Linked DNA regions of Mytilus edulis. The protein of the gene in region 2 binds, or shares a complex with, the protein of the main gene of each other region. Links are inferred from orthologs where the notes say so. Each region holds a gene or a part of one and is shown on either strand. Other genes may lie near its edges.

Evidence for each region.
Region 1: mitochondrial import inner membrane translocase subunit Tim22-like (region 2) and acylglycerol kinase, mitochondrial-like share a complex: the UniProt entries of both Homo sapiens proteins name them as parts of the TIM22 complex. The link is inferred for Mytilus edulis from reciprocal best matches to the Homo sapiens genes TIMM22 and AGK.
Region 3: the proteins of mitochondrial import inner membrane translocase subunit Tim22-like (region 2) and mitochondrial import inner membrane translocase subunit Tim10-like are in contact, whole or in part, in a cryo-EM structure (PDB 7CGP), measured with the Homo sapiens proteins. The link is inferred for Mytilus edulis from reciprocal best matches to the Homo sapiens genes TIMM22 and TIMM10. Residues at the interface, in NP_037469.2 of Homo sapiens: Tyr25, Ser26, Leu28, Leu29, Gln30, Tyr31, Leu32, Val33, Arg40, Leu42, Leu47, Gly48, Glu67, Glu144, Ser145, Tyr146, Gly148, Ser150; in NP_036588.1 of Homo sapiens: Pro3, Ala6, Gln7, Leu9, Ala10, Ala11, Leu13, Glu14, Val15, Met17, Met18, Ala19, Tyr22, Ser44, Lys45, Gly46, Glu47, Arg53, His62, Glu63, Gly66, Leu69, Thr70, Ser73, Met74.
Region 4: the proteins of mitochondrial import inner membrane translocase subunit Tim22-like (region 2) and mitochondrial import inner membrane translocase subunit Tim9-like are in contact, whole or in part, in a cryo-EM structure (PDB 7CGP), measured with the Homo sapiens proteins. The link is inferred for Mytilus edulis from reciprocal best matches to the Homo sapiens genes TIMM22 and TIMM9. Residues at the interface, in NP_037469.2 of Homo sapiens: Asp35, Arg37, Gln38, Pro39, Arg40, Leu42, Gly45, Ser46, Leu47, Gly49, Ile50, Ser52, Pro53, Lys60; in NP_001291414.1 of Homo sapiens: Gln13, Glu16, Phe17, Thr20, Leu57, Thr60, Gln61, Met65, Phe67, His71, Gln74, Asn75, Leu78, Lys81.

Annotation. Positions count from the first base shown.
Region 1 is NC_092344.1:79,052,165-79,060,105, forward strand, and holds the start of acylglycerol kinase, mitochondrial-like, read right to left. Parts: upstream 3,022-7,941; 5' UTR 2,912-3,021; coding exon 2,802-2,911; intron 2,176-2,801; coding exon 2,136-2,175; intron 1,839-2,135; coding exon 1,759-1,838; intron 230-1,758; coding exon 154-229; intron 1-153. UniProt on the Homo sapiens protein: Lipid kinase that can phosphorylate both monoacylglycerol and diacylglycerol to form lysophosphatidic acid (LPA) and phosphatidic acid (PA), respectively. Does not phosphorylate sphingosine. Phosphorylates ceramide.
Region 2 is NC_092349.1:81,526,924-81,534,321, reverse strand, and holds the start of mitochondrial import inner membrane translocase subunit Tim22-like, read left to right. Parts: upstream 1-4,390; 5' UTR 4,391-4,420; coding exon 4,421-4,655; intron 4,656-7,398. UniProt on the Homo sapiens protein: Essential core component of the TIM22 complex, a complex that mediates the import and insertion of multi-pass transmembrane proteins into the mitochondrial inner membrane. In the TIM22 complex, it constitutes the voltage-activated and signal-gated channel.
Region 3 is NC_092349.1:22,053,487-22,060,897, reverse strand, and holds the start of mitochondrial import inner membrane translocase subunit Tim10-like, read right to left. Parts: upstream 3,005-7,411; 5' UTR 2,912-3,004; coding exon 2,829-2,911; intron 1,779-2,828; coding exon 1,571-1,778; 3' UTR 1,044-1,570; intron 1-1,043. Other genes in the region: TRAF-type zinc finger domain-containing protein 1-like, read left to right, coding at 3,350-3,396.
Region 4 is NC_092346.1:22,147,318-22,155,109, forward strand, and holds the start of mitochondrial import inner membrane translocase subunit Tim9-like, read right to left. Parts: upstream 3,005-7,792; 5' UTR 2,896-3,004; intron 2,880-2,895; exon of another isoform or gene 2,855-2,879; intron 1-2,854. UniProt on the Homo sapiens protein: Mitochondrial intermembrane chaperone that participates in the import and insertion of multi-pass transmembrane proteins into the mitochondrial inner membrane.

The DNA.
Region 1 (7,941 bases), on a different chromosome or scaffold from region 2:
GAACAAATGGTATTGCATTTGGACGAATTTAACTGTTATATACCAGAGTTTTTACATGTGTTTTAAACCAGATAAGGGTTTAATGGTGACCCTTTTAAAATCAATCAACCATATAATCATACTCTGTGAAAACAATACAATTTAATAACATACCTTTACTACATTAACTTCTATTCCTGCTAAATGTAATATTGGTGCAGCATTCTTATTGAAAGATTTCACGGCTCCTCTATAAATAAAATAATATTATTACAAAAAAGTGAACATGTTCCAAAGATGTGTATCATCTACCATCTAAAAGTAAGGTAAAATAGAAAGAAACTGTGTAGTCTGTGATTTGGTACAGGAATGGAATCCCCAATTTTTTTTTAAATCGAATCCCAAAAAATTGCTAAAAGCAAAAGATAAAATAGCAAGCTTAAAACTTTATTTCCAATAAAAATTCTGTGCAAGTTTGTTGGAATTCTGTAAAGCTGCTCTAAATAAATTTAAATTGCAGGTGCACAACCCCTTGTCCTATAAAAGAATCAGTTCTAGTGTAATGAGATGTGGGAAAATGTTTTGCAGGGAGTTTCTAATTAACATGGACAAGGTATATAATGTTGACAATAACAAAAGACGTGATCTCTGTGTGTTGATATAACTTAGCTGAATGGAAACTCAAAATTTATATATTTAAACTAATGTTGGCCTGTGATGTAGGATGTTCTCACTACTTTGAAGACCCATTGGAGGCCTCTATAGGCTGATTTTTGCTCTTTGGTTGTGGTTTTGTCCTGAATTCCACTATGTTTGTTCAGCTGTAGTTTAGAGAGCGATATGGACCAAAATTTCTTTTATCTCATGAAAACTGGTATAAAGGAGGGTATAAAAATTTCAGAAAAAAATTAAACATTTATTTTTTACTACAAATCTTATTTCTTACCTTTAGTGGTTGTAACTTTATCATATGGTACATAAATCATTCAAAAAAATCAAGTTGTGTTGGCCCCAGATGACTTTTAAAATGTTGATATCATTGGAAAAGCTCCAAATTATCTCACTTTGGTGCAAAAATTCCAATTTTTGGCATTAAAATTGAAATATCTTTTTTAACTCATGGGTGACCTATTTTTTTTTTTTATATAATTTTCAAATAAGCTGTACTTAAACTTAACTATTGTAAAATTTGAGCAATTTCTGTAACAACAATTTTTTTTTATTTCGATATTACCTCTATTTCTCTTATTAGTTCAACAGAAAAAAGTACCTTTACAAAAATCTATGCTTCTTTCGAAGGCAGATTGTGAGAGTAAATGAACGGTGACCCCATTTTTTTATTTCATTTTTCTATTAGGTATAAGATAAAGTTCATTTATAGAAAAATAAAGCGAAATCCTATATTAATTAAAAAATTTGATTAAGACCTGTGAGCCCCCTTAAAAGGTAATTTATTAAGATTTTTTTAGTTACTGTTATTTCTATTCAAGCTGGTGCTTTGCAAATTGGCATTAAGACCTATAACCAAGTTATGGCTTATTGTCATTTAAAGGGCACCATCCACTTGTACTTGTCACTTAATGTTTAAAGCTGTGACCAATTTATGCACACATGGTTTTTTATTATCTGAACTTTGACATAAGTGATTTAAAAATGAAAAGAAATTGATGTCTACATTTCAGAAATCCAAGTTCAGTCAAGATTTAATATCAAGAAAAGTAACGGTACAGAATCAATGAAAAATAAACTGTTACCCATTAAAAATCATAATATAAATACCCTGATGCAGAAGCTGGGTTCAAAAACACTATAATTCTTCTTGGTTTATCTGTCACACCTATTTTTACTTTTCCATATTTCTGTAAATAAACAAATGGATGTGTTACAATTATTAATTAGATCTCAAATAAAATATATCTGTGTTAACTTATAAAAAATTATAAAAAATTAATGAAAAGCCTCAGTGGCTGTCTAAGTAGTTCCTACAATAATCACTAGCCAGTCAACACTGAGGTTGCGAGTTCAAACCTAGCTCGTTCAGGTGCAATCAAGTGTGACTTAACTCCAATCTTAATTGACTAGGATTGTCAGTTTCCTATCCAAGGTCAGTGGATTTCTCTGGGAACTCCGGTTTCCTCCACAAATAAAGTTCCTACCTTTGCTTCTTTACAAAACTCTCTTCTCAATAAATCTTCACTGAAAAAATAAAGAAATACATGTATTACTTAAATAGAGATTTTTTGTATTCCACTTTTTTTTTATTTTTCTGAAGTCAGATTATACTTTTATATAAACAGTAGTACTTTTATTCATTGACTATCTAATGAAAAAAATATTGTCTTTTTATCTCCTTGTTTAGATTCAACTAGAACAAACACACGAAATCACTGGCATCTAGAGCTTGGTTGAAAGTATGTAAAACTGTTGTAGAATGAATTTCTGTAAAAGATTTTATCATGGTGTGGAGAATTTCAGAAAAAGGTATAAAAAGTCATAGGTACTTAAAGCCCTCTCCCTTTTTTCCAAAGTCCCTTTTTTTTTCTTTTTCTGGTAAATCTTAATATTTTCGTGTTTATGTAGTATAAGTGTGCCTTATATTTAATAAATAGCGTTATAAAGGTCTGCAAAATTGATGATCTTTTTTTTGGTGAAAGGCATGATTCCAGAAATGAAATATTGTGGATGACTTTTGATGAAGTTGATCCATTTACTGTTTTAAAGGCCACTTTCAACATTATTGTGTAATTTTGTGGTGATCAGTTTTTATTGGCCGATAAGATGCAGAGCCAAGAGAGTATCACGACCTTCAATTGGAAACTCACTTATATTTTCGAGCTGCAAATCTTCCAACAAAATACACAGCAACACCAGCAGCTAACGATTTCTTCCAATTGTTTCGAACGGTTTTTACCGTTTTAACTATGAAGGCCATTGACCTATTGTCTACGAATTAAATGCATTTATGACTGTGGTGATGTTAGAAAAGATTATTGACAACCTACAAACAAAAATTGCACATGTTTACAACGAAGTCAATTTATATCTTTAACAATATTGATCATGACTATATTTGGCCAAACGCACTGCAGACAAGGATGTTATGAATGTATAAATCCATGTTTTTAACCGTTGTCGGATTCATCTGAGGATTCCGTAAAATAACTAAAAGTACCAATATAATCTTGAAAAATAAGTGTTAATATTAATGTAGTATCATTTATGGAATTGTTTCGATTTAATATAAAAAAATAATCATAAAAATACTGAGCTCCAAGAAAAATTCAAAATTAAAAGCTCAAACACATTAAAAGAATGGACTGTATAGTTGTATCAGAATATACCAGTGTCATATTTATATTTCCCGTTTTGTACAGTTATATGCGCACTAACTAACTATATCTTTTATAGTTTTGTTATACTATAAAATAAAATAAATATAAAAAAAGAAGCCTACAAACAATGTGAAATTGTTAACTTTTTAGTGTATACCCATTGAGAGTCCTTGATTACGGCTAATAAACATCTTGAATCCGTATGATGATGGTATAGTCTCAGGTTCAAATCTTCTAAAAGCTGTTCGGGAATGGTCTATAGAAATATTGTCATACATAATCATGATACGAAGAACTGAAAAAATAGAGACAGAGTACACATATATATAAGCATAAACTAAAGAAGCTATCGAGAACACCGAACTCAAATGAAATGACTATGTTCACCAATATAACATATGTACTAAAGTCAATAATACAATCGGGATCTAAAACGAAAGGTAATTAGAAGTAAGAAGTTGTGTGCCAACGAGACAACTCTCGATCCAAGTCATAATTTTTTTTAAAGTAAACCATTGTAGCCCCGGGTCTAAGTACGACCTTCTCTGAACATAAAGCATTGGCTCACACCGATCAGCAAGCTATAAAGATCTATAAATGACCACAAAAATGACTAATGTAAAAAAACATTCAAATAGGAAAACCAACTGTCTAATCTATATAAGAAATGAGATTTGAGAAACACCGAGGACCTTTGGTGGTATAAATACGAGCAGCCCGATATATGATATGGAGATCTTTAACACAAAGACGAAAAGATGCAAGAATTAGTATGCTCTATTAGATTAAAAAGGATAAATTTGAAAATTGAAGCAAACGAAATGTACATCCGTTATCATGCAAGAATATTAAGTGATACAAGACTTGCATAAAACAATTCAATAAGCCGTAAAATAGACCACAGAACATATGCAAGCAAATATTAAAACAGGATTCGTACTGCACATACTTAAAAGGAACATATGTATGTAAACCAGCTTGACTTATAACAAAACAATGACGACAAGCTCTGAATTTATTTACGGACTCCTGACTTGGGAAAGGCACATAAAAATGTAGTGGAGTAAAAACGTATTAGAGGACTCAATCCTAACTTTTATAACCTTGTACAGTGATGTAACAACACAGTATGAAAAAAACTATAAAATATATTTCATTGTTGTTGTTTTTTTGGCAAATAAATATTGTTTGGACTGACTAAAGAAGAAAACTTCAATATAAATGATCATATGAATTAAAACTTATCAGAACGGTATAATATTCCGTTGAGATGAAGAGTCGAGGTAGCTTTCATGGAAATATCCGTGAATAGATAGACCGAGCATGCATGATGCGGCCAGCAATTATGGTTTCACATGATACCATAGGACCAGAGACAATTATATGTCTCTGATAGGACTAACACTGATAAGTCTTATAATAGGTAAGTGTAGATCTGGTTGGCGTCAGCACCATTCTTATATACCAAACGAAAAAGGCTAATGTCCCGGTCATTTATCGGAGAGACTGGGTGGCTGACCGGTTTTAATTATAAGCAGAACGTTTTAATTATTTGTCATATGGTTCATATTTAACAGCTTTTGTGCCATGAGCTTAGTCGCACCATGAACGCTGAAATCATCATTAAAATTCTACACACGTTTATAAATATATCTAATGTAGATATATGAATTTGTTTATCAGCTGATATAAATTTACTATCTGCTTTATATGTAATTTGACCTTTATAGTTTATCCTAAGATGATTTCAGATCATATCAAATTTGGGTCGTATGGCCAGTTTTAATCTTGTATAGGAAGTGATTAGCTGTCTTTATTTACTTACATTGATGATAATTTTAGAAAGCATTTAGTGTTCACCCATTTTTAGATTAAAATTTAATTTGCTGCACTTTTTGCTGTTAGAAAATGCGGCTCCAGAAACTTGTCCGTCCAATATTCATGATCTGTTGCATTAAAATCAATCTAATATTCAAGAGAACATGATCTAGATTGCTGATTTTTTAATCCCATGCGCCAATGTTGCAGTTAATCTCTGACATTGAGACATTGATCGTCAAAATGCGCTCTTGTGCAATTTAAATAAGTACTACTAACGTTATTATATTTCCGACCAGAAATTGTATTTTAAGATAGAAACAATAAGCAAACATAACAATCTAAAACCAATAGGAACTGAGAAAAACTTCAGCTTTTCTTCTCCTGGTGACAATTAAAAAAGTTTTTTTTTTTAAATAAGAAGACTCTCATACTTCAATTTTAAAGGCTAAAATATTTTTTTGTTGTCTCCTCGTGTTTTTGACTTTCTGCTGAGTTTAGTGATTGTTCGAATGTTGAAGTCATATCATGCTTTATAACGTCCAGTGACAACTGTTACATGTGACTTTACATGCCCTCAGAACGCTCTTTTTCTTTATTTCTGATGTAAATACATAGAGAAGTAAACAGTATTGTAGATAAGAACTTTCTGTATACATTTATGATTTGATTCAACATTTAAAAATTACAGATTGATATTGTCAGTGTCTCGAAGTATACGCAGGAAAACTGTAAAACTATGAATCTTGATCAACATTTCATTTAAGATGTGCGCTACATGATGAATTGAACTAGTTTCACTTTTAGTATCTAACAATATTATCAATGGAAATGTTTTGATAATTGGTTGGTACATTAAGTAAGTATACTTGTCACTATTGTGTGAAGTGACAAATCCACCAGTACTTAGCTTACATAAATGTTGAGTCGATCTTTTGATCTTAAATGACACTTAACAATTTTATCAGTAAAGTCATTCAATGTAATTGTTCAATTATCCTGTCCTTTTATGGACGCTGTCCTGAGACTGGTCATTTTAGGACACCGACACGTTTCTATATTATAGAGAGGATGACATTCGTTTACAGAAAACTCGAGTTTTACTGGATATCTTTTGTCAATTTCATTACGAAATAGTGGAATTCGACAGAAAGTCTGATGAATGGTTGTCAGTCTATGAACTTGGAATATTGGCATATCTTAATTTGAGTCTACAAAAACTACCACATTGAGAAAAGGGAGAGTTCTCTGATATTCCGAGTTTGTATATAAAGAGTTATTGTAAAATCATCTTTATGAATATACTCACAGTTTGGATATTCAAATATCATGAATGATTCCTAGGTATTATTCTGAACAGTATGTCTAGCTTCACAATTTTTGTATGGTAGTTAATTTCATTTTGGGTAGTGTATGCAAGATACCGGTTGAATGGATGTATTGAGGTATGAGTTCTAGACAATACTATATATATATCAGTTGCTAAATGTATATTCTAAATGATATGAGCTTTGCTCATTGTTGAAGACCGTATGGTGACCCATACCTGTTAATTTATGTGTCATTTGGTCTCTTGTGGAGAGTTGTCTCATTGGAAATCTTACCACATTTTTTTATATCTAAATTTCAAGTCTAAATTTAAGCTTATTCGCGGCAATTAAGTAACTTGGTAATGGTACCATATTCCTAATATTCCCAATATTTGAAATTGCCACAACAAATAACCTTGAAAATAATTTGCAATGCTCATATTAAGTCATATGAAAATGCATAAAATATATACAACTGACCTTTCAGCACTGAATTAAAATGCAAACTCGGTCCATTTATTAACTGACCCAGTCATTAAGCACGACAAAAGTGGGTAGGGACATTGTATTCGAAACTCCTCCAAAACCACCAAACATATCATTGAAAAGGTCCGGAAATCACTGTAGCATAATGGCATTGTGATTTTTATTATTTATGTTGTTGATTGTAATGGTTCCAATAGTAAAGCAAAGACAACTATATCTACTACAATATGATAGGGCATCTTGTGTTGGCAACTATTCCACAATCGATGCTTTGTTCTCGGAATCTTTCTTATATATTTTGTCATCATATACATCTCCATTTTTGTATCCGAACGTACATTGGCGTTAACATAACTATTTTGAACTTAGTCACATTAATTCCAATAAGGAAACAAGGTCAATAACTAATGATATATACTAACAGTTTTTCCTGTGTTTCGTTAGAGTCATTTAAACGAAAATAAAGGATATACATGTAGTAAATAAATTCATAATATTAGGTCATCTAACTTACAAGAAAATACAAGACCAAACAACTATTAAGTTCCTTTCAATTACCTTTCATACGGCTTTTCTTTTCTATGAAGTGATACATATTTGTTCCCCTGAATCACCGAAGACAAACATTCACGCATACCCTGCCTATACCCGTTTGTGCTGGTATCAAGACAGGAGTTTGCAGTACAATATAAGTCGCCTTGCTCTTCTTGTTATTCCGGTATATGGACCTCGTTATCGATTTGATCAAATAATAAGTGGGTTTCGTTGGAGCCCATACCATTCATTGCTTTTCTGGGCCTTGGTACACGGTCCACGGTTAGGTCCAATAAGGCGAGCTGTAAATATGTGGACGGATGTGGGCTGAAGTTATTTATAAACAGTAGTCAATTGGACAGGTCAAAAATAATAATTATAGTAACTAATATATTTCAACTTAGATAAAGGAAATACTTATAACAGATTTTTATCTGGAAACATGTGCTTCAGTATACAAGTACTCATATTATGTTTATCTG
Region 2 (7,398 bases):
AAGGGTTTGAGTTTTAGATAGACATTGGAAACGATACATTAGAATGGTTGGATTTAAGACATGTCCCCTACGGACACCTATAAAAAAAATGTTGCAAGAGTTCGTTACCTTGAGAAGGGTGTGGCATCAAGGGTTTCACCAGGCTTATAGTAAGCACTTCGGTGTTGATATGAAAATCAATTATATGGTATTTTTTTTAAAATAAATTAACTGTTTGCAAAAGCATGAATTATTCGAAACAATAAGGATTTTCTTATCCAAGGCATATACTACCTCAGCCGTATTTGGCACAACTTCATGGAATTTTGTGTCCTTCATGCTCTTCAACTTTATACTTGTTTGGCTTTCTAACTAGTTTGATCTAAGCGTCACTGATGAGTCTTATGTAGACGAAACGCGCGTCTTGCGTATCAAATTATAAGCCTGGTACCTTTGATAACTATAAATCTTACACGAGGCATCGGATTTAACGTCCCCGTTCCGACCGGACGTGGAAACGTACACTTTATATCCTGCACACACACAAAAAAAACCAAAAAAAAAAACCCACCAACAACCGAACAAGAGAAATCCAGGACTAATAATATCTTTATTTCTCAGTCTGTCCTTCAAAAACAAGTAGAAAATGAGATTAGTAATTAGTAATAAACGTCTTTCATTACAATATCAAAATGCTGTAATGTTTTTTTATGTACACAACAATAACCGAGAAACCAATATATACAGCAATAAATGACAACCACTGCAGTGCCTCGCACCTTAACTAACTTGGAAATTGTTATAACAAACTTTATAAATCAGTTGAAAAGGTCTCACAACTCATCAGAACGATATAAAGCAAAAGTACAACTATCAAAGACACAACGTACGGCATATATTACCTCAGCCGTATTTGGCAAACCTTTTAGGAATTTTTTGTCCTCAATGCTCTTCAACTTTGTACTTTATTTGGCCCTATAAACATTTTTTGATTAGAGCGTCACTGATGGGTCTTTTGGAGACGAAACGCGTATATGGCGTATTAAATTATAATCCTAGACTTTGGTGTCTATCTACTCTAGAAAGTGGTATAAAATAATAACAAACTATACAAATCAGTGGAAAAGGTCTTATAACTCATCAGATCGATATAAAGCAAAAGAACAAATACCAAAGGCACCAAAGACACCACGTACAAGCTTAATGCACTGGCAGTTATTAAAATCTAGTTCAATGTCAACAGTAACTAACAAAAAAGTATATGGTTATCAGTAGGTAAATGAAAATCTTGTAAAAACACAAAAATAATTTGTTTTCCTGTTTCTGTTGATCAAGTCAGTTATGTTTTTCTCAAAGTACATCCTTTATATACCTCTAGAGTGACGTAATTTTAAAAAGTAATCAAAGGTATCGTTTCAATTTTTTTAAACCATAGACCTGTTCTCTTTTGGTAGCTAAATCATTTAAACAGTAATTAATATGACCTATGAGTAGACAATGAAACAAATCCAATTTCGTGATCAGAGTTCGGTCATCAGATTTGCTTACGGGACGACATCAAAAGTTCAATGTAGGATAAAAAAAAACAACTTAATTCACATAGTTTTTTTCACTGACCCCTCCCACCCCCTCCTCTTAACTTAATTTGGGAAAAATTGATTTACCTATATGGATATATATATATATGTAAAATCGATTTTGGATTAACAAAACTTGCAGCCATGTTGACCCTCACCCCCACCCCACCCCAAAACTATTTGATTTAAGTTTTTTTTTATCCTACATCGATCTTTTGATGACGTCCCTAATGAATATCTTTATTTCTGAACACTTTAAATTCGGAAAACTCTCATAGAACAATAAAAAAGTATACGATATGTACAATTGATATCATCAATCTAAAAGAGGCGATTGATAAACTATCAAGAAATTTTCATATTGTTTGTTCCGATTAATTATGATACTTGGTTTCAATATAATATTTTTTTTCTAATATACTTAAATGAACCTGAAGATCACGCTTCGCAAATTATTTTCTACAATGTCATAAATTTGCAACATTTGTTTATCACAACAATAATGAACTCTAAGCCACATAAGTGATTAAACTGAACAACTGTTGTGTTCACTTATCGCCAAACTATCTTCATCTGTTTTGGCTGTTTTATGTGCGCACTGTATTGATCTAAGTCGGCTTTGGCTGTGCTTTGTGCAAAAAGATATAAAAGAAGAATGATGTGGTATATAAGCCAATGAGACAACTCTTCATCCAAGTCATAATTTGTATAAAAATAAACCATTATTGGTCAAAGTACAGCCTTCAAAACTGAGCCTTTGCTCACAACTAACTGCAAGCTGTAAAGGGCCCCAAAATGACTAATGTAAAACCATTTAAACAGAAAACCAAGTCTAATCTATATTAAAATGGAAAACGAGAAACACTCATGACCCACATCAACAAACGAAAACTACTGAACAATCTTCTTTCTTTTTTTTAAGGCCATCAACATGATCAATCCTCAATCATTTATAAAACCAAAATATAGAAATAATATTTAGCTATTACCATGATTACTAGGACTTACTATTATACCATCATGACCATGTATACATACTAGTCCAAGGCTATCATTAGCAGTTAATTTGCCTGTTTTATAAATGTTACAGTAGTTTACATTGCAATACTGATAAGATTGTTTTGCTGACAGGTTTCTGACAAACATACATATTAACAATACAAAATAAAAATCCTGAGGCTATTCAGAGCATGCACGGTATACACAAATTTGAATTATATTCGGTCGCTTCTGGTGAAACTTCGGATAAGGTAGAGACAAAAGGGGTGACGTCTATCGTGCAATTCTCTGAACATTGGAATCTGCAGTCCTGATTTGATTAGCGTGCATATCCTTAATATTTGTAATGGCTTTTTATTGGCGGGTCCGAGAATAAAATGTATAAATTCAGCGTGTATTACTGTTTTTTTGTTCGATTGTTTGGTTCTACACCGTTTTCATGATCAGTTGAAAGTTGAGCTGCTATATAATATGACTACTGTTGCTGCAGTGGGACTTTTTATTTGTATCTTGCATTACTAATTATTTTAGTTTTAATATAACAAGCCGTTTTAAAACTGACTTACACTTAACTCTATGACCATTTTATTTTTGTTTATTGTTTTTTCTATCTAGACCTATAATTTTAACCGCAAGATCTGAGTTGGAAGGAATTAATCATACTTTTTTATCTGAGAAAAATAACCTAGTAAATAGGTATTAGTCCTACCCATTATATATAGGCACTGGCTACGATTAGCTTGAAAAAGTAACTGGCAAATAAGATATAATTATTGCTACTTCAGAGACTATAACATGTTTAACGTGACGGTACCCAAATTGCACCTATTTTGACAGTTTTTTCAACTACGTTTTTTTATGATTAAGACAAAAGTTTCCATTGTGTGTTTATTTTGTAGCCGTATCCTTCTTTACTATATAGGTACACCAATTTGATTTTCAATTCATATGGAATCATAGAAAAATTGGGCTGAACTAACCTCAAAACCATCAATGATTCTGTAATGAGGAGTACCCAAATTGCATCCATGCTTAAATTCGCATCGTCAAAAGTCGAATAACAGAGTTTTTGTTTATTTTTTTCAAATATTTTGAACAATTGGATATTTGTCCATGCTTACTCTTCTTTTTTTAAGAAATGAATACTTGAAACATATTGTATTTGCTTATTTTAAAAAGATGACGTTTTGATGACTTGATGACGTCGCACGGCGACGTTTCAGTACATTTTGCTTTTTCAACATGTTCAGTAAAACACTTCATCTGTTGATAAATACTGTGAACGTTTTGTGTAAGTCTAAATATATTCAGTGGCGGATCCAGGGGGGGGGGGGGGGGGGGTTCCGGGGGTGCGCACCCCCTTTATTTTTGCCGATCAATGCATTTGTATCGGGACATATGTTTTGCACCCCCCCCCCCCCCCCTTTGCCCTGGGTGCCCTGGGTTAGCACCCCCCTTTCGAAAATTCCTGCATCCGCCCCTGATATTTACCTATTTTGAAAGACATTTATAGTATCAAATCATAAAAATACAAACTGTTTTATCTCGAGGAGATCTTGTAAGATTTCTGCTGCTATTTTTGCTAAATAGGTGCAATTTGGGTACTCGTTGCAATTTGGGTACCGTTACGGTTAACTGCCGAAATATACAATCATCTCATGCGTTTGTAAAATGGAAAAGAAATGGAATGAAATCGGTTTCCAGTCTGGAAATGCGTTTCTGTGATAAGTCTTGGTAGTTACAATATTTTTTTTCTCATTGTTACTTTTTTGCGGGTAACAGTAGCCATGGAGTGCCTAAAATATAATTTCGGATAATTATCATGTCCACAGCCAAGACGGTCCTGAGTTTATGCAATAACTGTCATGGCTGCGCCCATGTCGACGGACACTGGAACTGATAAAATCCCAGTTTTAACTCCAAATGACGTTCAAAATTTTAGTTTTATAGTCGATAATGTTATTGGTGAAAAGAAGAAGCCTAGAAACTTCTTTATGCCGTTTGGTACTGCTCCTCAGATGCCAAAATCAAAAGAAGAAGTATTCATTACTGCATTTTTTGAAAGTTGTTCATTCAGAGCCTCCGCGAGTTGTGTTGCAGGTATAATTTGATATACTGAAGTTTTTGATTTATCATAATATAAGCTGGTCGTTCCTGTGTGATGGAGACAAAGTTTGAAGAAATAAACTACAGAAAAATGTGCTAACAGCATAAACATGACAGTACAAGGTCACCTAGTCCGAGATTACTCTGACGTCCAACGGCTGTTTTGCCAGACAAGCTGGGGCCGTGGGACAACAGAGCTCGTCCCATATCAAAAAGTGGATATTTGCCCACCCAAAATAGATGCGCTGCTTCGTCGCTTCTGGTGCCGACTGACGGCCTTGGAATTATAAAAATCGGGCATCAATCTGTTCATTTTTCATTTATCTTTTCATTTATGTAAGTTTCACCTACCTGCCAACTTTTATTTTTTCATATTTTAACAGTTTTCACAGAGACCCATCGATTTCTGCATTTTGACTTTCACTTTCAAATGAACGTCAAGTTACGAGAGAGTTCGTGGCCTTGAGACTCAAATATGCAAATTTTGTAGGAGATTGATGTTTAACATTTAGTAGCCAACCACGATTTTTCGCCTCCTTGACAGGAGATCGGTATTAAGCATTTAGTTCCGACCACGAGAACAATCGGAAGCTCTCGGACATTTAGATAACTTGCATCGTAAATACACCTTATCGCTATTTGTCCGCCATTACTGGATATTACACAGGTTCCCGTAAAATTTTGACGTCATAAAACAAAATATCGGACGCCACAATGGAAAAGTGATTGTTGTATGCGTCAAAAGTTCAAGCGGCCGGGTCAGCCGGCCGATAAGGCTAATAGCGATAAGGTGTATGAACAAGGTGTTACATTATGGTCATTTGCATAAATCATCACTGTTTTCTCGTGGTCACGTGATAATCTTTGAAAATGAAAGGCAAAATGCAGAAATCGATGGGTCTCTGTGAAAACTGTTAAAATATGGAAAAATAAAGGTTGGCAGGTAGGTGAAACTTACATAAATGAAAAGATAAATGAAAAATGAACAGATTGATGCCCGATTTATATAATTCCAAGGCCGTCAGTCGGCACCAGAAGCGACGAAGCAGCGCATCTATTTTGGGTGGGCAAATATCCACTTTTTGATATGGGACGAGCTCTGACGTCCCACGGCCCCAGCTTGTCTGGCAAAACAGTCGTTGGACGTCAGAGTAATTTCGGACTAAAGGTCACCAAACCTTTTTTCTTCATTTTTACAAATTTTCATATGACATTAAAAATATAAAACAAATTAGTAGGTCCATCTGATAATTCAAAAAATATAAGGACTTATAAGCTACAGTCATGACAGAATCAGTGAATCTGGGGCCGTTAGCCCCAAGTCATGTTTGCTCCCATTCAGGGTTTCCGCTGGCGGTCGCCATTTTCGCAATTTGCGATAAAATAATAATTGTGGCGATAAAATTTCGTCATTTGCGAAAGAATTTGGCGAAAGAAATATATAAACCGATTTATTTTCCTCCATCTTGTTTATTTACTTTTTTTCGAGTTTCTCGGACTTTACCCGATCAGACAATACTCGGAATTCACCTTGACCTCATTAAGATTTAGACAGAAAATCAATAATCAGCTGATTGCATTTTATAGCTATCGACAACAAAGGACTAATTAATAAAGGTGTTGATTGAATTGTTTCACAAAATGATATGGTCAAATGGCTTCCGCTATAAATGTCACATACAGAATTTATTTACATCTTTGCGACGCACGTGTTTGAAGCAAACTTTTGACATCTCTCCTTTTAAAGATAGTTTTGAAAAGAAAGCTGTTCAGTTCGACAGTTGTTGTGACGAAAATTGTTCAAAAGCAAGAAAAATTTCCGATTTAAAACTTAAATTCTTTTATCCTTTGACTTTAGTAAAGTCGTTTGAGTGACACATGCACGTTTCAAGCATAGTTGTACGTCTCAACTTTTTCATTTACGATGGTCAAGAAAAGAAAACTGTCGTTATGAAAAAATCTATTAAAAAATCTGGGAACAACCCCTCGAATGAGAGTAACCCTTCAATGTGATGACTACACATGAAATGAGGGATCAATTTCATGTGATAAAAGCTTTTGTTTTGTTGTAAAAATTACTTCTTAGTACAAAAGGGCACAACAGGAAAAATATATTTATGTTACTTGGCGAAAAAAATAATAAAGTGGCGAAAAATATATTGTTTTGGCGAAAGAGGTGGCGAAAAAAATGATTGACCCAGGGGAAACCCTGCTCCCATTCCAACATTGATGATTACAAAATGTAGACTCACCTGACCAGTGCTTGATAACAACCAGTGCTCTATAACACGCTACAGAAATGATTTTTTAATGAAAATAAAACACTTGAGAATTAAAATAATTTTGTTTTTATACATGTACAGATGTACCTTAAAAGGAGCTTTACAGGAAATATACATTTTGATTGATCTTAACTTAACTGGAAATTAATAGCAGACGATGAATGACAGTGGTGAATCGAGGTTGAAAAGATGCTCTTGGAATCCGGTTTAAAAAAAAACTTTAATTAAATATTTAGTAGAACTTTTGAAATAACATGGATCAATTATAAATTCATTTACAATTCAAATGATGTGATTCCTACAGTAATATTCAATCCAGGGCATCTGTAACTTTATGTTTTGTCCCCCCTAGAGCCCCTTCATATTTTCACTTGACTTGCTGCCATTTTTATGTAAACAATATATTTTGGGTAAACTTGCTTGTCCCTTCATGCATATTCCGGTTTGGGTGTTTC
Region 3 (7,411 bases), about 59 Mb from region 2:
TTTTTCAGGGATAGGTTTAAAACGTATGATAAATTCAAAATGGAAATATGCAGCAGGACAGATAATTTTTGCAGATAAATAAATTATGAGTTGTAATGCTTGTTTGATTAACAGAAATCTGGACATGCATTACATGAATACAGATAAATTAATGAGCCCTTAGAATTGTGGAAAAGGAGGGGATTTTATTCATCACTAGTACACTGGATACATTTATAAATATGTTTCTGTCAGTATCTTTTATGTTTTAAGAATCATCTTATTCATGAAGAAAGGCAAGAAAATGGGAAGTACTTCAATTGACACAAGATGCTAGTCTTTAAAATATGTATGTTTTGTTCCAGGCTAGCATCTTCTGGTACAAAACTACTATAAACCTGTAAATTATTTTGGTCTGTAAGCTTTGGTGCTTACAGTCATAATTATCTTGAATGCATCATTGTGGTTCTGACTATAGTAGATACTTTGTTCTCTGGTTCAAGGGAAAATTTGTCAATGATAAATTTCAAATATTTAATAAGTTCAACAAATGTAAGAGCCACGCATATTTGTTCTGTGATGTCCTGGTGAAAAACTTCTATCTCATGAAGCGACAAAGTCGAGCAGAAATCATCTGTTTCTGCTTTACAAAAGATAAAATTGAGTCCTCTACAAGGTCTCTCAGAACGTTTCTTTCAAAGAATAGCTGAAATTTGATTTTTGATAAAATCCATCTCCCTTAACCAATGCATTGCAGCATAGGGAGATGCCTTCCCCTGTCAGCCTCTTTGACATTTAACTTTTGGCAGACTTTTTCTATTCCATGTCATTTAAATGTTTGCTACCAATACAGTGTAAGGCAAACGCTTTTCAGATCATGATTTGAAATAAGTAAAGCCAGGAACAAACTCGGCAGATACGACCAATTTCCGGCAAAATTTCGATTGTTTTTAAATAAAAAAAAATAAATTTCTGAAACGCAAATAAAATTATTTGGGCGGCAAGTTTTTCAGTGGGTTGGGCGGCAATGCCAAACAAATGAAATTTTATTTTAGGCCTTAGACATGCTAAAAATTATTTTTTTTGAGGCTATGAAAATCTAAATCATCGTTAGCATACTGGATTAGTCATGGTCATTTTAGAATGTTTAGACTGAAACATTCAATAAGGCAAGAGTGTGACAATACATGTATCTCATCTAGCACTTATCATGCTTATTTACCACAGTTGGCTTAGGTTTTCATGTTCTAAGAAAACCAAATAAAATTTCAACCAGTAAAATGAAATTTTTACTAGAAAAACTTCCTGAATGTAGTTATAAAATTTAAGAATTAATAGTAACATAATAAATTTAATATTAATTGTCTAGTGTATTTTTTAAATATTGACAACTGATCATGAATGTACAGTCAACTAAACGCCACCTTTGCAATCTATGACAGAACAGCTGATGACAGTGAGTCAATTCATCTTTTTATCAATGGCCTGCTTTTCCTTGTACTGATTACACTTTCTCCTGTTAGTATCTTGTTCATTTCTTCATTGTATAAATACTTTAATTGTAATATCACAACTATTAAAACAGTTTATGTTAAGATTTTTGGGGCTGCATTTGATCCTGGATTTTCTTCACAGTAGCCTCGTCTTGTTGGGACATAGATGTCAATTTCTTTCCTATATTATCGTGCATTTCTAAGTACTTGGATACACATCTGTCTAAACACACTGATTCACCTTTAGATAAATCTGCTTCGTTATACTTGGGTGGTACACATTTTTTCTGACAGGCAGTGGTCATTCTAAAACACAGAAAATATATATTGTACATTTATTAATTTATTATAGATAATAGTGGGGTTACGCAAAGTGAACAAATTAAGAGGGGGATACCTTTTTGTGTTAACCAGTTATGGCCCTTTTCAAGGTGTTTTTAACTGTTATCTGAGATCAATTTAAGCTGTTATTTGTTTGTATCAGCTTTTTTGCTAAATGTTTTTGCCAAAATCGAGGTGTTGTCAACATGTAAACGGACCCCCTATTGCCCCCTCAATTAAGAGTGTTTTTGAATTATATCAAATGATTTATTTTTAAATTAATGCTGGTTTCATCACTTCTGATGACCATCAATTTCTTTATCATGTTTATTACTTTAAAGTAATATGAAAATAGTGACCGGTGGAAAATAATGTTAATCCAACTCTTGAACCAATGCATACATATATCATAAACTTAAGTCTTCTGTGATCGATTTTATCATTTTGTTAGCATAAGTTTCGTCTAATCGTCAAAAAATATTCTATTTGTCAGTGTTGTTGTGAAAATATGGCAGCTTATTATTAGTCGTGATGTGAAGCTGAAGTTTAACAATTGTCACCCGTTTGTAATCAATCAACAAAGAAGCATGGATATTCAGGTAAGCAAGTGTATAACAGGTACTACAAGATATAGTTTATCTTGATGACTATGACGGAGCGATGTTTACGTTTAGTTTTCCTTTTGCACTTGCATATTGAGATTGTCTAGCATATTTTTTTGTAACATTGACAGCTGATCACGAATGTACAGTCAACTAAACGCCACCTTTGCAATCTATGACTAGAACACAAGAACAACATGCCTTGTAAAATAGAGCGGGTAGTTTATTAGACACATGACATGTTAGAAATTTAACTCTGTAAGTCCATAGTAAAATACAAAAACCAACTAAAGACTGAGCAACACCAACACCACCAAAAACTTGGTATTATGTACAGTGCTCTGATACTTGTCTTTGACACTGACAATATAAACATGGCAAAGGTCAAATTTTGGTTACATCTCAGAAATACACTTTCTGTCTATCAATTCACCTGTTATACATATCTGCCATCATTTCTAATTCTAAATCCGAAACCAGCTTTAACTGGGCTTCATTTAAAGAAGGCGTTGCCATTTTAAATGTGAATATTTCAAATTAAAAAAAATGTTGTAATATAGTTAGTGGGTTTCCACGTGCAGGTAGCCGGATAAACCGGAAGTACAATAAATGGCGAGGACTTGCCTCTTACACCAACAAATCAAAACCGTCGTCTTAAAATAATTAGCCAATCACAGTTGTTGTTCTATTGCAGATTAGAGCTGTCAAAATATTTTGTTGACAAGCCAGGCTACAGTTTCTATCCCAAGTGTCTTTGTATCAGGGGAAACACCTTGTAGTTTCTTTATTGTCATCGAAAACAGAATATTGCTCTGTTGTCTAAATTAGTTAAACTAAATGATAATTAGCGATTCATTTTGAATCATTGGTTGATTATTTCTGAATGACAAATTTGTAATGATAAAAACATTCTTGTAACGTGACCAAGCAACTTTCAGTTTCATAAACATCAACATGGCTGAAGATTCACAAGATGTGGAGACAAAGTTTTGCAAAAATTGGTAATTTATTGCTGGATATTTATTTTATAATTTCATTTTGTAAATATTACGTTTTCCTTAAAAGAAATACTATAAATTACTGCTTTCATGTCTATCTGTCCCAAGTCGATCCGGCCCCAATAAAAAAATATTTTTATAAGAAATTATAATGAAGATATATCATCATGCATTATATGAATTGTAAATCACTGATAAATGTTTATGAAATTAATAAGATTATAAAAGGTGTACAGTAAAAAAAAGTTGGCCTTTGAGGAATATTTTCATTAGATGAGTTTAAAACAACTATGTTGATTATGTACAGTTTCATTACAAGTTTTCAACATTATTGAGTAATAAAAACATATATAACAGAGTTTAATACAATCAACGTTCATCAGCATTGATTACCGTTTTTTTCAATTGCAAGTCTTTCATCCTGTGTAATAACAAATAGTTACATAAACAACATTTCAAATTTTGTAAATTATTACTAAATCAGTCTTAACTTAGTCGACACCTAATTTTAGGATTTCTGGTAAAGTGGGTATTTATTATTATTTAAAAGTTTTCAAGAAAATGCCTGTACCAAGTCAGGAATATGACAGTTGTTATCTATTTGTTTGGTGTGTTTAAGCTTTTGTTTTTTTTTAAAAAGTTTTCCCCAAGATCTCCATCTGAAAAACTACTCTATAATTTATCAATTTATGTGTTGATGGGTTTTCTTTATTTTGATGTTCAGCTTAATCTAAAGTCATGAAAGTGTGCACGTGATATAGGAAAAAAAAAAAAGAAAAAAGATACCGGTAAATGTGCCGCAATTTATACCATCAGAAAAAATAGAAAGATACCCTTTCAAAACTGTAATATGCGCAAATTGATTTTGCCCATATAGATTATTCATTATTTTATTATGGGGCCGGATCGACTTGGGACGGATCGACTTTGGGCCGGATTGAATTGGGGCCGGATAGGTTTGGGGCTTGAATGACCGGATACCAAATTACGGAGCCAGGAGGGCTAGTTTGTGGGGAGAGGGTTTATGATCCTGTAACCTGCTTATTGTTTTGTCATATATAATATAATTTCACAGGTCCTGACTGACTCCATGTCCCTTTTACATGCAAAATGATTTTTTAAGGTGTCATGTGTAAAAAAAATAGAAGCCAACCTCGCAATAGCTTACATGAACTCTTCAATCATTTTTTTGTCAATGAGACCAACAATGTAATTGTATAAACTACACCAGTTGACCTTGGATATTTGGGATAAAATATGTATGAGGACAAAATTGTAACAAAGATATTTGATCTCTGACATCAAATTACATTGTAGCCAGGAAAAAAGATGAATTGGCATTATTGGAAAATTATTTATTGTTGACTGACATGGCTTACATTTTTACAGGGTTCACCATGATCCATAAGTGGTGTTGCAGTTTTTACAGTTAACTTTAAGGACCACATCCCATTCTTCAGAAATTTTTGTATAAACATGATAAACGCTATAAACTTAAGCTTTCATAGACAAACCAGTAAGGTTCAAGGCATATCACACAACAGCCAGGGTAGATTTTGCTTTTTCCACAGTCCCACCCTAGCTATAATCTCTTTTTTTGTAAAAATAGTGATTACAAGTGCTTATCTGCTTTTTTCAATTGACTGTACTTGCCAGTCTTTTGATTAAACAAAAGAAATTGCATGCTCACTCCTATGGGTGGGCAGAGTGGACAAGCTAGAAATTTTGCCCACCCGGTACCCACTCCAACTGTGGAGGAGTGGACAAAGCAAAATCCACCTGAGCTGTAGTGTCATATCATGAAGACTGGCGTTGCAGCACACTTGAATTTCCCTCTGCCACCTAAGTTTGTATTCACCTTGTAAATATGCAGTTCTCCATTCTGCAATAATCAATAGATTTATAAATCTAAATTTTATACAGAATACATTATACCTCATGTCAATGGCAATCGATCAGACATAATACTTGCTATGGCATCACCGCTAGTACAAAAAATGTATTTAATAGTGTGAGCACCACCTTAAGAAATTTTAACATTGACAGCTGATTGCACAACATAATCTTGTTGTGCATGATTAATCAGTCCAGATGATTAATAAGCATGTACATGTACCACATACAATTTTTGTACATGACATCCACGAGATATACATGTATAGCTTGGCAATTAAGATAAAAAGGAAATAGAATAGTGTTTATATATGCAATTAAGAATAGATAAAATAACATGATACAGGCCTCTACAATAACTTTTTTTTCAACTTGTCCTGTAGGACAAGTACATACCAAAATTCACTTGTCCGAATGAAATTGTTACTTGTCCTAATTTTTATTATTAAAAATAACCTTTTTACATTTTTAGTTGATTATTAAAAGGAGCAAAACGAATTTAGACAATACATTTATAACAGACTTAGATGTATTTCTTTTTATTTTTCAAAAATATGAGTCAAGTACAACTGCGAAACTAGTTATATCACAGGAATTGGGTTTTAGTTTTCATCAATGCTAGTCTCACCAGACTCTAAACATGAGGCACCATCTGATAGGCCTGTACACTCATTGGATTTGTATTCTGTTTTGTTTTTTAAGTTGAAAAAAGTTTATTCAAATGCAATCAATAAAAAGAAGATAAGCCATCATAGGGTCTGATTGCCAATGAGACAACTCTCTGCAAGAGACCAAATGGCACAGAAATTAACAACTATAGGTCACCATATTGCAAGTATTGTTTTTTATACGACCGCAAAATTTGAAAAATTTTTCGTCGTATATTGCTATCACGTTGGCGTCAGCGTCGTCGTCGTCGTCGTCGTCCTGCGTCCGAATACTTTTAGTTTTCGCACTCTAACTTGAGTAAAAGTGAATGGAAATCTATGAAATTTTAACACAAGGTTTATGACCACAAAAGGAAGGTTGGTATTGATTTTGGGAGTTTTGGTCCCAACATTTTAGGAATTAGGGGCCAAAAAGGGCCCAAATAAGCATTTTCTTGGTTTTCGCACTATAACTTTAGTTTAAGTTAATAGAAATCTATGAAATTTTGACACAAGGTTTATGATCACAAAAGGAAGGTTGGGATTGATTTTGGGAGTTTTGGTTCCAACAGTTTAGGAATTAAGGGCCAAAAAAGGGCCCAAATAAGCATTATTCTTGGTTTTTGCACCATAACTTTAGTATAAGTAAATAGAAATCTATGAAATTTAAACACAAGGTTTATGACCATAAAAGGAAGGTTGGGTTTGATTTGGGGAGTTTTGGTCCTAACAGTTTAGGAATAAGGGGCCCAAAGGGTCTAAAATTGAACTTTGTGTGATTTCATCAAAAATTGAATAATTGGGGTTCTTTGATATGCCGAATCTAACTATGTATGTAGATTCTTAATTTTTGGTCCCGTTTTCAAATTGGTCTACATTAAGGTCCAAAGGGTCCAAAATTAAACTTAGTTTGATTTTAACAAAAATTAAATCCTTGGGGTTCTTTGATATGCTGAATTTAAAAATGTACTTAGATTTTTAATTATTGGCCTAGTTTTCAAGTTAGTCCAAATTGGGGTCCAAAATTAAACTTTGTTTGTTTTCATTAAAAATTGAATAATTGGGGTTTTTGATATGCCAAATCTAACTGTGTATGTAGATTCTTAATTTTTGGTCCAGTTTTCAAATTGGTCTACATTAAGGTCCAAAGGGTCCAAAATTAAACTAAGTTTGATTTTAACAAAAATTAAATTCTTGGGCTTATTAATATGCTTTATCTAAATATGTACTTTGATTTTTGATTATGGGCCCAGTTTTCAAGTTGGTCCAAATCAGGATTCCATATCAAGTATTGTGCAATAGCAAGAAATTTTCAATTGCACAGTATTGCACAATAGCAAGAAATATCTAATTGCACAATATTGTGCAATAGCAATTAATTTTCAATTAGAGTTATCTTTCTTTGTATAGAATAGTAGTTGATAATATATGTTGGAAATTTGCCAGACATGACTATGATGTCATTTTCTATTTTTATT
Region 4 (7,792 bases), on a different chromosome or scaffold from region 2:
GTTGTTTTTGGGAGCATGTCTTAGTCCAACGAATCTTGGTGAAACCTAGCAGTCATCGCAAACGAGTGATGCAGCAATATGAACGTCAGTATTTCATACTCTAAATTCCATGTTACTATCCTGTTTTGCAGTTAAAGACACTTTCAATGTCTGTCATGCTTCAGCTGATAAATATATTTTTTTACTCTTGCGATCAAGGATTTGTATATAAATATCCTTGGTGCGATATTTAAACTTTAACATGTGCATACCTGTCAACCTGTGACAATGAAAATGCAGGTCATGACCTGCATTGAAGAATCAAATCTCAGGTCATAATGCGTACAAACTTTTTCAAGCTGAATTTCAGTATTTATGGTACTTTTTTCTTGTAATTTAAATCAAAGTTACTTGGTTAAGTAATTTTAAATCTTATTAATTATTATTTCATTGCACTTTTAAAGATTTTTTATAAATTTGTTTAACACAGTCTTGTGTTCTTTATTTTACCCTCAAACATCAGGATATAGTTTAAGAGTAATTTTAAAGTGTTTCAGACCAGCTATTCAGCCTTCAAACACATCATCCTAATCATTCATTACAATCCATCTTGTTCATTGAAATTATACGATAGTAAAATATAGTAATACAGTTAAAGGAAGTATAGATGTACAAAATAATTTTCAACTTTTTTTTCAAAATTGTATAACATGTATAAAGGTATAAAAATAATGAAAAGTTATATTTCAATATGTATTTGAATTTTATTTTTTCTAAGATTTAATCTTTTCCCAAAAAAAAACGGAAATATAAGGAATAATTTTGAATGGTGACAAATAAGGGGAAGTAACTCTAGTAGAAATATGTTTGTAAAAACAACAGTGCAATTTATTTACGACCTTAAGCTAAGGTAATTGGTGTTAATTAACAGTGTGTTTGACACCAAAGCTGTTAAGTGAAGCCATGCACTTAATGGGTCACTTCATTTGACAGTTTACACAGCTAGATGAACTTTCTGTTCATGGAACAATTACGAATTTGCCGGTATTTCAAAGGAATATTACTTATGAAATCAATCTCAAGGCTAAGAAATACGGGTGAAAACTAGTCATTTTCGGAATTCCCGGGTTATTCAATGACCCGACGGGTGTCCCGGGTGATCCCTCAGAATTGTGAAAATCTCGGGTAACACCCGCAGAATACGGGTTAGTTGACAGGTATGCATGTGAGGTTGTAAAATGATTTCATTACCGTTCATTATTGAGGGTGGTAAAGGGGGTGCTTGCACGAAAAAAACGTGAAATAAGACATAATTTCACGTTGAACGTGAAATAATTTCTGTAATGAACGTTGCATGAAAAATAAATACTTTTATTTGAACCTTGTGTGACTGAGTCACTGTCTTCTTGTATATATTAACTCTTTGTTTTACTTGATATTCCCGAATTATAATACACATTTATGATATAATTGGTTTATGGCTTTTAAAAAAGTATTTCTTGACGATCCCTGCCAAGTCTTAGAATTTTATTTGAAAAATATCGAGCACGCAAAATAAGACTTTGAAAATCATGATGCATGTAAAATTAAATAAGCAGAAAACGTTGAACGAGGCACCCGTCTTGCACAACTGAACGTCAAATAAACAAGTAAAAACATGTTGAACGTGAAATAAAAAACGGTGATCACGTTCCACCAAAAAAACAACCTTTACCACCCTCAATTTCCATATCCAGCTAAGTACTAGTCAATTGCGAAGGCAATTGATTTTTAACATTTGCTGACATGACATTGAAAGTGGTTGAATCAGTGTTTTCATTTTCAGAGTCCAGATAATTTGTGATAGTAATTTCATTCTAATTGGATTCTTACTATACAAATCCTTGATTGTACAGACATTACAGATTACAGATTGATGAAAAAATAAGGTATACAAGTTTAGAAGGTTGAAGTTTAATAAATCTAGCATACATTAAGGTTCATGTGGACCCTATGGCTAAAATGGCCGTATTTTCACCTCAAAATTTACTCGGAGTACAGACAAACCTGCGCATCTGTAAAAAAATTCAGGCATAGCATGCCCTAGATAAATGAATTTTAAATATGTTTTATGTTTTAGAAAAGTAAAAACTTACCAGGATTTTGCCGTGCACTTTTTTTCATTTCTCCAGAAGGTGCCAAAATAAACTAAGTTGGGAAACAGGTTTGAGAACTTCCCCACAGGTAAAAATTAAAGTGAGCATTTTTAATTGACATGGACATTAGATGGACAATAGATACCCGACAATAATTGGTTATTTAAACTGTGTACCTGAGTGAACCATATCAAGGTAAACTCAACTGTTTGTTAATTTTATCGTCTTCTGCAGAGACGAAAAAAAGTGTATGGCAAAATCCAGTTAAGTTATGAATTTTCTAAATCATACAATGCATTTGAATTCTATTTATCTAGGGCATGCCATGCCTTAAAACTTTTCCAGATGCACAGGTTTGCCTGTACTCAGAGAAAATTTTGAGGTGAAAATACGGCCATTTTAGCCATAGGGTCCACATGAACCTTAAGTGCATCAATGTACAAATGTAACAATATCGCAAAGTAACCTTAGCCTCAATTTTTATTGTTACATTCGTAATTAATCGGATCCTTACCCAACCCTGTACTGCGGCAATTATTCTCCAATGTAACAATAATATTTTTATTATAATTGTTACATTTCCATGCCAGTACCTATCAATAAAATATCATATTTTATGATCTTTTATATAACAATGTTTATTGAACAGCCTGGAAACAGTATATTCCTGGTCTAAACAACAAAATACTTTTAACTAAATTGAATATGTAACTGTTCGTAAAACAAAAGGTATGATTTACAATGTGTCTCAGTGACAATTTTTGTCTGATTTTTAACCTACATGAGTTATAACAGAGAATATAAGTGAGGGAGGGAAACCAATGGTAATGTCATGAGGTATTTATGAACGTAGATCGCTCCGTTTACGGAGCACCAATAACTGCGAGTAATCCATGACAAATCGCCCCACTGGCAAATCTCCCCACATCTAATCGCCCCATTTTTTCACAAACTCGCCCCACTTTCTAAAAAACCGCCCCACTCTTGTTTACCAACTCGCCCCACTTATGAAAAGGGTAAACTCCCATTGCAAATAGTTATAATAATATGCTCCCCTTATGAAAAGGGTTAAAATCCCGCTGAAATACGGCTCCACTCATGACAAATAGATAAACCACTTATAAAAAAGATGCAATCCCGTTGTATATCTTTGTCCCTGCCCACGTCAATACCTTTAAAAACCAAAGTGAAGTGCTATAAAATCAAATTGCTGTTAAGAACTCTGTTTTTGCAATAAAGTTGTATATAAATGTTTCACGCATCAATAGTATGATTATGATACAATTAACAGGTTTCTTTTCAATTGTTATACAAATAACTAAGCTTACAAGCATAAAGTTATTCTCCAATAATGATACAAAAATGTATTTGCAATTATATTTTAAGAATGTAAATTTTTTTTAATAAATTTCGTTTTTTTTTTGTATTCTGTCTGAGACTACTATAACACATAGTGTACTCTCAGTACTGGTCATATAATTCACGTGATCTATATTCATGATATTGCTTTTCGGCCCGGTCAATTATTTCCGTTACGGACTGACAAGGATTTGTATAGTAAGTCTAAGTAACTTTACAAATCCTTGGGACTGGCAATGAATACTGAATTACATGTAAACATTAATTGTGCATGTAATTCAGGATTCATTGCCAATCCGTATTGGAAATATTGGCCCTAGTATTCACATCATTGCCAGTCCGTATTGGAAATGAGGCAAATGCCTCATGTCGGAAATTTAAAATAAAAAAGTGGAAACAAAAGCTTGTCTACTCTTTTTTCACAGCGAATGTCTTGCAAGTAGCACTTTCTCTTCACTCTCTGATGTCGCCCCTGCATGTTTTTCTTGACTGACCCATGTTTCTAATTTACTTTTATTTTCAAAGCTTATGGTCTATTGTTTTTAGTTATGTGTCTTTTCTGTACCCGGGTTTGTCTTTTGTCCATTTATTGTCCTACTTTATGATTATAGTAATAAGTGTTGATTTTCATTTGTAAATCTAGTACATTTAGTTTGTTTTTAACTTGAGGTCAAGATCGTCCCTGCATGTATAGTGTCGACTAAAGCGGTACGTATAGTATGATATATTAATACTGCATTGTCACTATATCTAAATTCAGTCATAAAACAAAATCAACAAAGTCAAAACACAATACAAGACAAGAATAGACAGATCCGGTATTCAATGATTTTAAGAATTACGATTGTTGCTTTATCCTACATATCGGTCTAACTTTTGATGTTGCCCCATAAACCTAAAAGTCTTGAATTCCATTGAATCTATATAGTTTGCTTTGAGACCAGAGTATTGTCGAAAAAATAGCTAAAAACTAATTGCGTCAGAGAAGAGTCCGGAAAACGCTCAGAATGCACGATTTTGCGTCATTTTTTTTCAGAGCTTCGGCGGGCCTTTCAATCGGCCCCAGACCCCTCGCCGAAGATTTTTCGCCTCACTTTTAAAAGGGTCTAGTTACGGCCCTGTCAGAGCTGTATCAATCTTAAATGTTGTGGCCATACTTGCCCCAACTGTTCAGGGTTCAACTTCTGCGGTCGTATAAAGCTGCGACCTGCAGAGCACCTGGTTAAATTTATATATGACCTGCATATAATTGATTTAAAATTTTGAATATATTAGGAATATACTCTATATGGAATATGGAGGTACTCATACTAACAAAAGGCTTATACATTGAAGAAGAAACCGAGCGCCATATAAACACCATGTATATGAACCCTATAGTCTATTTTCGACCATTGCGGCCATGTTTCTTGGTGGATAAAACATGTTGATACAATTCATAAACTAGATTCCTAAGAAACATTCATTTAAAGTAAAGAAGTATTAGGAACAATATATTGTTTCAGATGAGAACATTTTTAAATGCTAGCGGCAAATTTGATAAGCAAATTGTGTCATGAAAATAGTCTTTATTTACAAAAAAAATAAACATTTATTTTTCATTACAAATTTTATTTATTACCTTTAGTATAGTTGTTACTTTATCATGTTGTACAAAAATCAAAAATACCAAAAAAAATTCGTGTGGGCCCCAGATGACTTATAAAGTGTAGCTTTCATTTTTGAAAAAGCTCCAAATGATCTTCCTTTGGTGCAAAAATGCCTTTTTTGCAATTAAAATTGAAATATCTTTTTTTAACTCATTGGTGACCTATATTTTTTCATTATAATTTTCAAACAAGCTGTACTTAAACTAATAAACTCATCATAGATACCAGAATTAAAAATTTATATTACGGATTACAAATGTGTCGAGGTTTCTGATTGGATAACAATACAGAGATGTCAGTATATATTCAGAAAACTGCCGGGGTATATACGACGTTTTTTTCCCCAATTGGAACCTCAAAAACGTCATCATAAAACCGGTTACTATGTGACGTAGTCATAAGCTATCAGACTGTCAGAGGTTCACAGAGGGAAAATAATGACGTGCTTCAGTCAATAATACATTTTTGATACAAAATCACGCAATTAACACTTCTAATACTTTAATTTGATGTTAAAAGTGTTATTATAAATTATTACATACACGATAAAATTATGTTCACAGAAAATTAGAAAATCCTTCACGTATGCCGAACATATCAGGTTGGGTTTTTCAATATATATGTTTTGTCAACAAATACCTGCACTGGACAATAACATTAAGTCAGGCGTAATCCGTAATATATGTGTAATTCAGGTCTGAATAACATATAATATTTACGCCATACGCGGGTTTCGTCTACAAAAGTCTCATCAGTGACACTCGAATTAAAAAATGTTTAAAAGGCCAAATAGAGGACGAAGTTGAAGAGCATTGAGGACTGTAATATATTTGCTATGTAATAATACAATCCAGTTTCTATAACTAATTTATTAACAAGTACATCGTTTGATGGTCAGACTACAGAATGACAACATGTGTATAAGAACTTCAATTGATCTATTTAATTGCATGTTTATTTAAGAACGGGCAGACATGTGAGAGTTGCTGATCTGTCAATTATAATTACTGTAACAGATGATACGGTAATAAAGTGAGGTGAACTTTATAACACTTCTCCGGCCTTAGATAAAAACAAATTAAAAACAAATTAACTCAATTACAGAAAATTAATGTCTTTTCACGGCTACTGATTGATAAGTCCATATCAGTTTGAAAACAAATAAAAATGTCAGATCACAAAGATTCATTCGTTAAAGTTTGTCTGCACTGAAACTATAATGTCCTACTATGAAAATAAAAATTAAAATGTTCGCACTGGTCTTGTTGTTATTTCTTACACTAATTGATATGTACACACATACACTGCGAAGTACTTAATGCACTTCAAACGGTTGTGAGGATTATTATGCCTCTTTATAAATCAACCATTTATTTCAACACAAAATCCTTTAAATGCGATGGTTCTTTTCTTATTCTCTTCGGATAGCGTGGTTCCATTTGTTCAGTCAAGTTTGACGATTTATCGATTTGCGGTTGTTCGGTCTCAGGAGTACTTATCGGTATAGTTATTTCTGGCTCAAACAAATCACTGTCATTGTCACATTTTCCTTCATTTTCGTTGTTTGTGCAATCGAAGTTTCGTACTCTGATGTGGTCAATATGTCTACGAATGACACGTCCATCTTGCAATTTAATATGAAATGAAAGTGGTCCTGATTGTTTTATAACTTCTCCTGGAATCCATTTAATCTTTGAACCAATTGCGAAATTTCGGGCAAATACTCCCTGTCCTACATTAATTTGTCTGTTCACAGATTTCTTATCGTGATAATGTTTCTGTTTTTGTTGTCTTTCCTGAACTCGCTTCTCAATATTTGGAAAAACTTAATCTAGACGCGACTTGAGTTTCCTTTTCATAAGCAATTCTGATGGTGCCAATCCTGTCGTTGTTTGTGGCGTTATACGGTAGTTAAAAAGAAAACGGTTCAACTTTTCCTGGACAGTTCCTTCTTTGATTTTCTTCATACCTTCTTTGAAACTCTGAACTGCTCGTTCAGCACAACCATTACTAGCTGGATGCCACGGCGCGGAAGTACGATGTTCAATTCCATTTGATTTCACATAATCGGCGAATTCCTTGCTAGTAAATGCGGCTCCATTATCACTAATAATGAGATCACATAATCCATGTGTTGCAAACGTTTGTTCAAGTTTTGCAATCGTAGCTTCGGATGTTGTAGAATTCATTACGTGTATGTCTATCCATTTTGAATACGCATCAACCATAATTAGAAATGATTTGTTCATGAATGGTCCTGCAAAGTCTATGTGTATTCTTGACCACGGATGGCTCGGATATTCCCACGGATGTAACGGTGCTTCTGCTGGTAACTTGCGGTTTTCCTGACAACTATAACAATTAACTACAGTTAATTCCAAGTCATTGTCCATTCCCGGCCACCATATGTAGCTTCTTGCTAGACTTTTCATTCTAGTAATCCCTGGATGTCCTTGGTGTAATTCATTTAACATGGCTTCACGTCCTGGTTGTGGTATAATTACTCTTCCTCCCCACAATATGCATCCGTCCTGACTACTGAGTTCATTTTTCCTACTATGATACGGTCTTATTTCTTCATTTGGACATTTTGACGGCCATCCATTCAAAATGTATCTAAGCACCATAGATAGTATTGTGTCCTTGCGTGTCCACTTTTGAATTTGTTTA